Linked DNA regions of Drosophila melanogaster. The protein of the gene in region 1 purifies or fractionates together with the protein of each later gene. This does not show direct contact. Each region holds a gene or a part of one and is shown in the gene's direction. Other genes may lie near its edges.

Evidence for each region. Proteins that work in one complex are often made in the same cells at the same time.
Region 2: the proteins of Tdrd3 (region 1) and Top3beta purify together in Drosophila melanogaster (affinity purification with western blotting; 3 studies listed by BioGRID, with this or other methods). This does not show direct contact.

Annotation. Positions count from the first base shown.
Region 1 is NT_037436.4:14,785,221-14,788,971, forward strand, and holds the start of Tdrd3 (tudor domain containing 3), read left to right. Parts: upstream 1-1,570; 5' UTR 1,571-1,626; coding exon 1,627-1,661; intron 1,662-1,713; coding exon 1,714-1,798; intron 1,799-1,872; coding exon 1,873-3,751. Other genes in the region: bmm (brummer), read right to left, coding at 699-858.
Region 2 is NC_004354.4:6,286,370-6,290,120, reverse strand, and holds the start of Top3beta (topoisomerase 3beta), read left to right. Parts: upstream 1-2,130; 5' UTR 2,131-2,389; coding exon 2,390-2,480; intron 2,481-2,551; coding exon 2,552-3,299; intron 3,300-3,638; coding exon 3,639-3,751. Other genes in the region: Rpt4 (regulatory particle triple-A ATPase 4), read left to right, coding at 1-66, 196-336, 400-502; wuho, read right to left, coding at 693-1,967. UniProt on the Drosophila melanogaster protein: Releases the supercoiling and torsional tension of DNA introduced during the DNA replication and transcription by transiently cleaving and rejoining one strand of the DNA duplex.

The DNA of each region.
Region 1 (3,751 bases):
AACCATTTGCCCATATATTCGGGTGCCGCTTTACAAAAGTGCGTTGTCCCGGGCATACGAAACTTGTTTTTCTGTTTTCGTAAGGTTTTTCAACTGCGCCGCAGTTTTCTTTTGAGCGGATGGGACGAGCCCCCTTCGAAATTGGACAAACACGCCCAAAAACACACACACACTATCGCAGTCAATTATGAAAGATCCCCATTGACTTCCTAGCGACCTACAAACGCAAACAAGCTTATCAATAAAATTCAATTCAATGCGTTTTATATTGAGCCTCGCAGCATCTTTCGCGCTCTCCCACTCCCACTCGCTCTCTTTCTCACTCCCACTCACAGAGTCACTGAACTGCCCAGTGTGGTTGCTTTTGCACTCAGCTGTTTTGCGAACGCAAGTGTGAGTGTGTTCGTGTGTGTGCATTCTGCACGAAGAGGGGAGAGCAGTAGAGAAAACACCAGAGGGGTGCAGAAAATATTCACAGGGGTTTTCCCAAGCAGAAAACATTGTGCAAAGGCCAAGTTCAGACGCGGAGTGTGAAAAGAAACAAGAAACTTAACAAATTAAGATTTATGCAAAGCAAAATAAAAAATTTATTTTTGTTTCGCCTTGGAGAATCGCTATCATATAGTTGGCAGATCTTAATGATTCCGAAAGCTTCCCTCTCTAGACCCACCCATGTAAGCAAGTGGGAAGAGACTTACCCAATGGCAAATCGCAGAGGAGACAGCAGGCGGCCAGGGAACCGGCCGAAGCGCCTCCGATCTTCTCCAGCAACAGATGCGGTGCATACTTCTTGAAGCAGACGGCCACTCCGACGTGGTAGATGCCCAGGAATCCGCAGCCAGCGAATGATAGATTCATGCTTTGGACTCGGCGTTAGATTCTATAAATCGTTCGATGACTGTTTGTTGTTGTTGCTACTGCGTCACTGGTTTTTTCTCTCTTTAAGGTATTTTCTCGCACTTTCTTCGCGGATTTTAGTCGTTGCAGCTCCTTTGATGTAACAATTTCTTGTCGCGTTTCGAAATAAATCTCGTTTGGGTTTTCAATCACTGTTTGTCGGTCGGCTGGAAAAATTACTCCGCTCTCGAAATGAAAAGTTGTTGCTCGCGAACCGTTATTTACTCGCTCTGCGGATGGCAGCCCCCTTTTATACATTCATTGCGGCGCGGTGTGACCGCATTTTATTCGCTTTACCACCTAAACTAGAACTGTCATTAGAGTGGCTGTGCGTATAGGGTACTCTTTTGTTTGTTCTAAACATGTAGATATTACGACTTTAAATCGATTTATAATGCCAATTCTTTATAACTGATAAAATTTAATTATCGATATATAAGTACATCTATCAAAAATATATATGCTAGTATATGTGTTGCACCCAATTTTGACATTATCTCTTGGGACATAATATATATATTATATTTAATTTGAATAAGTGTGCAAGAAATATTAAAATTTTTAGATTTTAAGAAAGCATTTAATATTACTAAACAACCTAAACTTAAACGATAATAGTATGCACCGTCAGCCGATAGTTGCCGCCAAGCACATCACTAGCGAGTACACACATCTAATACTTTTGTCATCCCTAGTCCGGAGTTGCAAAAAAATCGTCTTCATGAAAAAATGGAATTAGGCAAGAAACTACGAGAAGTCGGGTGGTAAGTACAATTTTAAATTGTGGCATACAATGCTTCTTAACGATTTACGCAGGTACCTGACAGAGGAGGGCCTTAAAATCGTGACAACAGCCGTCGGCAGCGAGGATGTCCGGAAAATAGTCAATGATGCACTGAATGTGAGTTGTAGGCGAACCGGCTGCTCAGCATTCTGTGTAATTATTAATTATAACCTATTACTCACACTTTGCAGCGAGATCTGCGCGATATTGGCGGTGGCGCACTGCCCGCGAAACGCGAAGATGCCACTTTGCCCGGTAAAATTGTGCTGCAGGTTCAGCGTGTGCGAAATATTGCCGCTCCCAAGGCGAATGAGGAATCGAAGGCGGCGCCACGCCTCCTTCAGTTGGATCTGAGTGATGGGCAGAATTCCATAAAGGCCTTGGAGCTGGAGCCAGTTCCCCAACTGAATCTCAATGTGGCTCCCGGAAGCAAGATCTATTTCAAGGCCGAGAAACTGCAGCTTATGCAGGGATTCCTGCTGCTAAAGTCCAGTGAAATTCAGCTGCTCGGCGGCCGTGTGGATGCACTCTACGAGAAATGGGATCTGGCCAGGACCATGATGAGATATGCGCGCAGTGGGCGCCCCTTGAATGGGACATCAGCGCCACCCCCGTGGGTGGCATTTGGCCGAAAAATCGATAGCAACGCCGAAAGCGAAATGAACTTTAAGAGCCTGGGCGAGGGCGACAAGGACAAGCCGGCAAAGGAGAACGAAGAGTTCAATGCCATGCGCACAGAGGCCATTGCCGTGGCCACCAAGGCCGGCGGCAAGAAGATCTTTGGCGGCGGTGGCCAGAACATTATCGATCACAATGTTAAGAAGATCCTAGACAAGGGCTTCAGCGAGGAGGAGGCCCGCAGTGCCTTATCTGCTACCCGAAACAACTTGGAGCGCGCCCTATACAATCTAAAAAGACGCAGTGAAGCTGGCGGTGTGGGTCCGATCGAATCCGTGGGTCGTCCGGGACGCGGAGATCGTCCGCCCAGAGAGGGAAAGCGTGGAGCTAGCGCCAAGGACGAAGTTGAAGCACCCAAGCCGGCTGCCAACACCACGCTGTTTGATTTCCTAACCAATAAACTGCCCGCCAAGGAAACACCGGCCGCTAGTAATGCAGAAACCTTCGCTGCCGCTCCAACTGCCGCTCCGACTGCCCCACCCACTACCAATCACTTCAATCCATTTAAGCAATATGGAAGCTCGCGCTTCAGCGATTCCGAGAGCAAACCTTCAGCTATGGGCGGAGGCGGCAAGTTTGCAGATCGTTCTAGGTTTGAGAACAACGTATCGAGCAGCTTTGCCGCACATCGTGGTGGACATGTGGGTTCGTCGCGAGGCGGTGGCCGTAACCGGGGTGGCGGCAGGGACGAAAGGCCACCAAGAGAGGAGCGAGCCTACAGGGAAGACAGGCCTCCGAGGGAAGAAAAACCGCCGAAAGAGGAGAGACCACCGCGAGAGCGAGGAGCGTTCAATGATCGTGCAGCTGGACGTTACAAACCAGAAACGCCAACCGTAAAAACCGCAAATCGCAATGGCTCGGATAACGTATCGTTGAAACCGAATTCCGAGATTAAGCCAGATCATGAAACAACCAATGGGAAGGACCACACTGGCAACCGACGTGGCAGCGAACGAGGCAGCAATCGTGGAGGCTCCAATCGAGCAGAGAACGGCAACGCCAATGGCAACAGACGAAACAAGCCGGCAGCAAGCTTAACTTCGGCGAGTTCTGCAGCGAAATCGACAAATAGTGCTGGCGATGATTTCAACGCCCGTTTGAGTAAGATAACCGAGGAAACAGCTAATCTCAAGGTGAGCAGTGCGCCAAAGCGAGAGAATCGACGTAAGCAAGGAGGACAAGCCAATCGCCTGGCGGGATCGGGCACAGAAACAACGCAGCAGCAGCAGCCAGCACAGTTGCATTCGCAGAAGCCAGAGAAGGCTCAAACCAACCAAAAGCATCACAATCCCAGGCACAATTCGCAGGCGAACTACAGTCAATTGGCGAATGGCTACACTTACGATCCCAGCAAGATCATGGGTTTCCAGAGCAAGGAGGCCAACGAGTTTG
Region 2 (3,751 bases), on another chromosome or scaffold:
TGCCCTTCTGCGTCCGGGTCGCTTGGACAGGAAGATCGAGATTCCGCTGCCCAACGAGCAGGCTAGGTAAGCTATATTCCCACATTGATTGGCTCTTATCTTTGATGTCTTCTTGGTGAAATATGAATAGGGATTTCTCAGATTAGATACTTACATACTTTGTCATACTGATGGTAAAACCCCAACTCCTTTTAGGTTGGAAATTCTCAAGATTCACGCACTGAAGATCGCCAAGCACGGCGAAATCGACTACGAGGCCATTGTCAAGCTGTCGGACAACTTTAATGGCGCTGATCTGCGTAATGTCTGCACGGAGGCGGGTCTCTTTGCCATTCGGTAAGTGCGAAGTTTCCACCGCTTGATAAGCTCCCTAAAATGTAACTATTCTTGCAAATCCAGTGCGGAGCGGGAGTACGTCATCCAGGAGGACTTCATGAAGGCGGTGCGCAAGGTGTCGGACAACAAGAAGTTGGAGAGCAAGCTGGACTACAAGCCCGTCTAGGAGCCAGTGCTCGCCACCGCCCCCCATAGAGATAACCATACACCATTTACACACATATACAGATATATATATATTATGCCCACAACGGGCCTGTCACACAAAGTCCGTTGCTTCTTCTCCATATGCTAATTAAATGCTATGTAAAGATTAGGTTCATTTAATTTCCTTTGGGTATGTGGGCGCCCGGGGATTAGCCGCACTTCTGCTGCTGCTGCTCCTCGATGCGCCGCTTCTTGCGCTCCAAATAGTCGCTAACGTTGTCGAAGCGCTTCTTAAACCAAACGGACAAGTCCTCGGGAATGAATGGCGGTGCGCCCTCCTCGTTGGCACCCAATCCGTCTAGCACCATCTTCAGCCAGCCCTCGGGCACGCCGCTGCTCGCCGGCTGGCCAGTTGCGATGTCGTAGACGCGCAAGCTTAAGCGTTCGTTCTCTGCGCCGGTGATGTAGATCCGGTCGCTGGTTAAAGTAAAGTTGCTAATGCTCCATGAGCCCGCTTCGGCGCAAACCAGTTGTGTGGCCGTCACGCTCCAGGTGTCATCGGAGCTGCGCTCCAGGCGATACAATCCCAGGGCGTCCACGTGCTCGTAGAAGAGCACCGCCGCCTGGAAGACCTTCTCCGGCTCCAGCTGGCGTACCAATAAACGAACCGCCGGTGCTGGTAGCTCGTGCTGCAGCAGCTCTTTGCCCTGAATGTAGTTCCATACGCGCAAGGTCTTGTCCCCCGAAGCGGAGGCGATATGCTGCTCCGTGAGCAGTGCCAGGCCTGAGACAAACTCCCTGTGGCCCAGGCAATAGCTGTGGATGTCAAAGGTGGCGGGATAGTTGGTCACGCGTATCTTATCATCCCGATCGCAGGTGATGATATGCTGCTGGTCCTCCGACCACAGGATGTCGTATACCACACTTAAATGGCCCAACAGCAGGCGCGGCGGAGCCTCCACCTCAACGCAGTCGTACTGATAGCAATCGCCAGTCTTGTCTGTGACCAGAATGGAGCTGCTGTCGCTGCAGAAGCGCAGGGCACTGGACGCCCGGGCCAGTGGGCGGGCGGAGAGCAGGCGGGCGTTCTCCGGCCGTGAACGATAGAGCAGGAGAGCTTTCTGTTTTCCACTGGTGGTCACGGCCAGCAGCTGTCCGTCTGGCGAGTAGGCCACATTCTGTACCGATGTGCTGGTGGCACATCCCAAACCGGAGGCGCTGGCAGAGGTTCCGCCCTCCTCTGGCTGATTGGCAAGCTGTTGCTCCTTGCCACCCGGTGCCTGACCGGATGCGGCTGTGGCTGTGGATGCGGCTGCTGCGGCTGTACACGATTCCTGCGACTGGGATGTATGGCCTTTCAGGCCAAGGTCGGGCGGCAGCTCGATCTCCTTGAATATCTGCAGGTCGTCGGGGTTCACGAAGAGCACCCTGCGGCCATGGCCGAGCACGATTTCGGGTTCCGCGAACGAAATTGTTGTGCACATTCTTGCGACTCGATTCGATAGCCACCGATAGGTTTGCACAACTACTGACTACTGGTATCGACGAGCGATAAGATCTGCTCACCAGGGCTGCACGCTGCGGTATGACCAATTGATGCATTCGTTAGAATGTAGTGTGACCCTGTTGCTGCCAACGGCAGTGAGACCGTATTATTGGCTGGAAAATAATGCCCGTGAAATTTGTTAAATAGAGGGGATTATACGGATGTATAGCGAGGAAGTCCAATTCATCCATTAGCCCGTGTTCGTGTGCGTTTATGCTGTGCGTGTGCGTTTGTGTGAGTGTGTGTGCAGCACGAAACCGGCGAATCCCATGCGAGTGAACGAGTGGGCAGGAGGAAGCGCTGCAAAAATCTCATCATCAATTATATAGGCCATTGGATTGCGGGACTTGGATTTGGGCCATGAAGAGCGTGCTGATGGTGGCCGAGAAGCCCTCGCTGGCGGCCTCGCTGGCGGGGATTCTCTCAAACGGACGCTGCACGGCCAAGCGTGGTAAGTGCCAGTAGATCAACACGAACTCCCAAACTCAGCAAGCAACCGAAATTGTATGTAATCCTCTCCAGGCACCGGCAACGGCTGCTCCACGCACGAGTGGACGGGCAACTTTCGGAACGAGGGCAGCGTCCACTTCCGGATGACTTCCGTGTGCGGTCATGTCATGTCGCTGGACTTCAATAAGAAGTACAACTGCTGGGACAAGGTGGATCCCATCCAGCTCTTCGGTTGTGCCACCGAAAAGAAGGAAACGAATCCCAAGCAGAACATGCGCAAATTTCTGGCCCACGAGGCGCGCGGCTGTGACTATCTGGTGCTCTGGCTGGATTGCGACAAGGAGGGCGAGAACATCTGCTTCGAGGTGATGGACGCCGTGAAGCATGTCATCAACAATGTGTACAGCGATCAGGTGACATACCGTGCCCACTTCTCGGCTATCACGGAGAAGGACATCAAGAAAGCCATGGAGACGTTGGGGCATCCCAACGAGAACGAGGCCAAGTCGGTGGACGCCCGGCAGGAATTGGACCTGCGCATTGGCTGCGCCTTTACCCGCTTTCAAACGAAGTTCTTTCAGGATCGCTACGGTGACCTGGATTCGTCGCTGATCTCCTACGGTCCCTGCCAGACGCCCACGCTCGGTTTCTGCGTGAAGCGGCACGACGACATCCAGACCTTTAAGCCGGAGAGCTTCTGGCATCTGCAGCTCCTCGCCGGCCAGCCGGAAGTCACGCTTGAATGGGCGCGCGGTCGGGTCTTCAAGAAGGACATCGCCATCATGCTGCTGAATCGCGTCAAGGAGCACAAGAAGGCCACGTAAGACCTAATCATGGCTGCTGTCACTACGGCTAGTCTATAAATAAGCATGCTTTCGTCACTTTTCCGTTTGCTTATAACCACTTTTTGGTCACTCGAAAGACAGCTGACTCTTTTTTTTCCACCCATTACGCCATTCCTTCCAAATCTGGTGCCTACATCATCTATGTATCTGCCAGAGAAGCAATCATGCCGAATTAGCATAATTTCTGTTTGTGTTCATAACGAATGCAAACAAACAAAATGCTGCTGATCCCCAGAATTTAAGAAAGCTCACCAAGAATTGACTATCTTTTCCCTTTCCATCTAGTGACCACTTCCTCTCTTTTCTTTTTTCAGTGTGGAGAGCGTGGCCAGCAAGGAGGCCTACAAGAGCAAACCACAGGCACTGAACACCGTCGAACTGATGCGTATCTGCAGCTCCGGACTGGGCATCGGACCCTTCCAGGCGA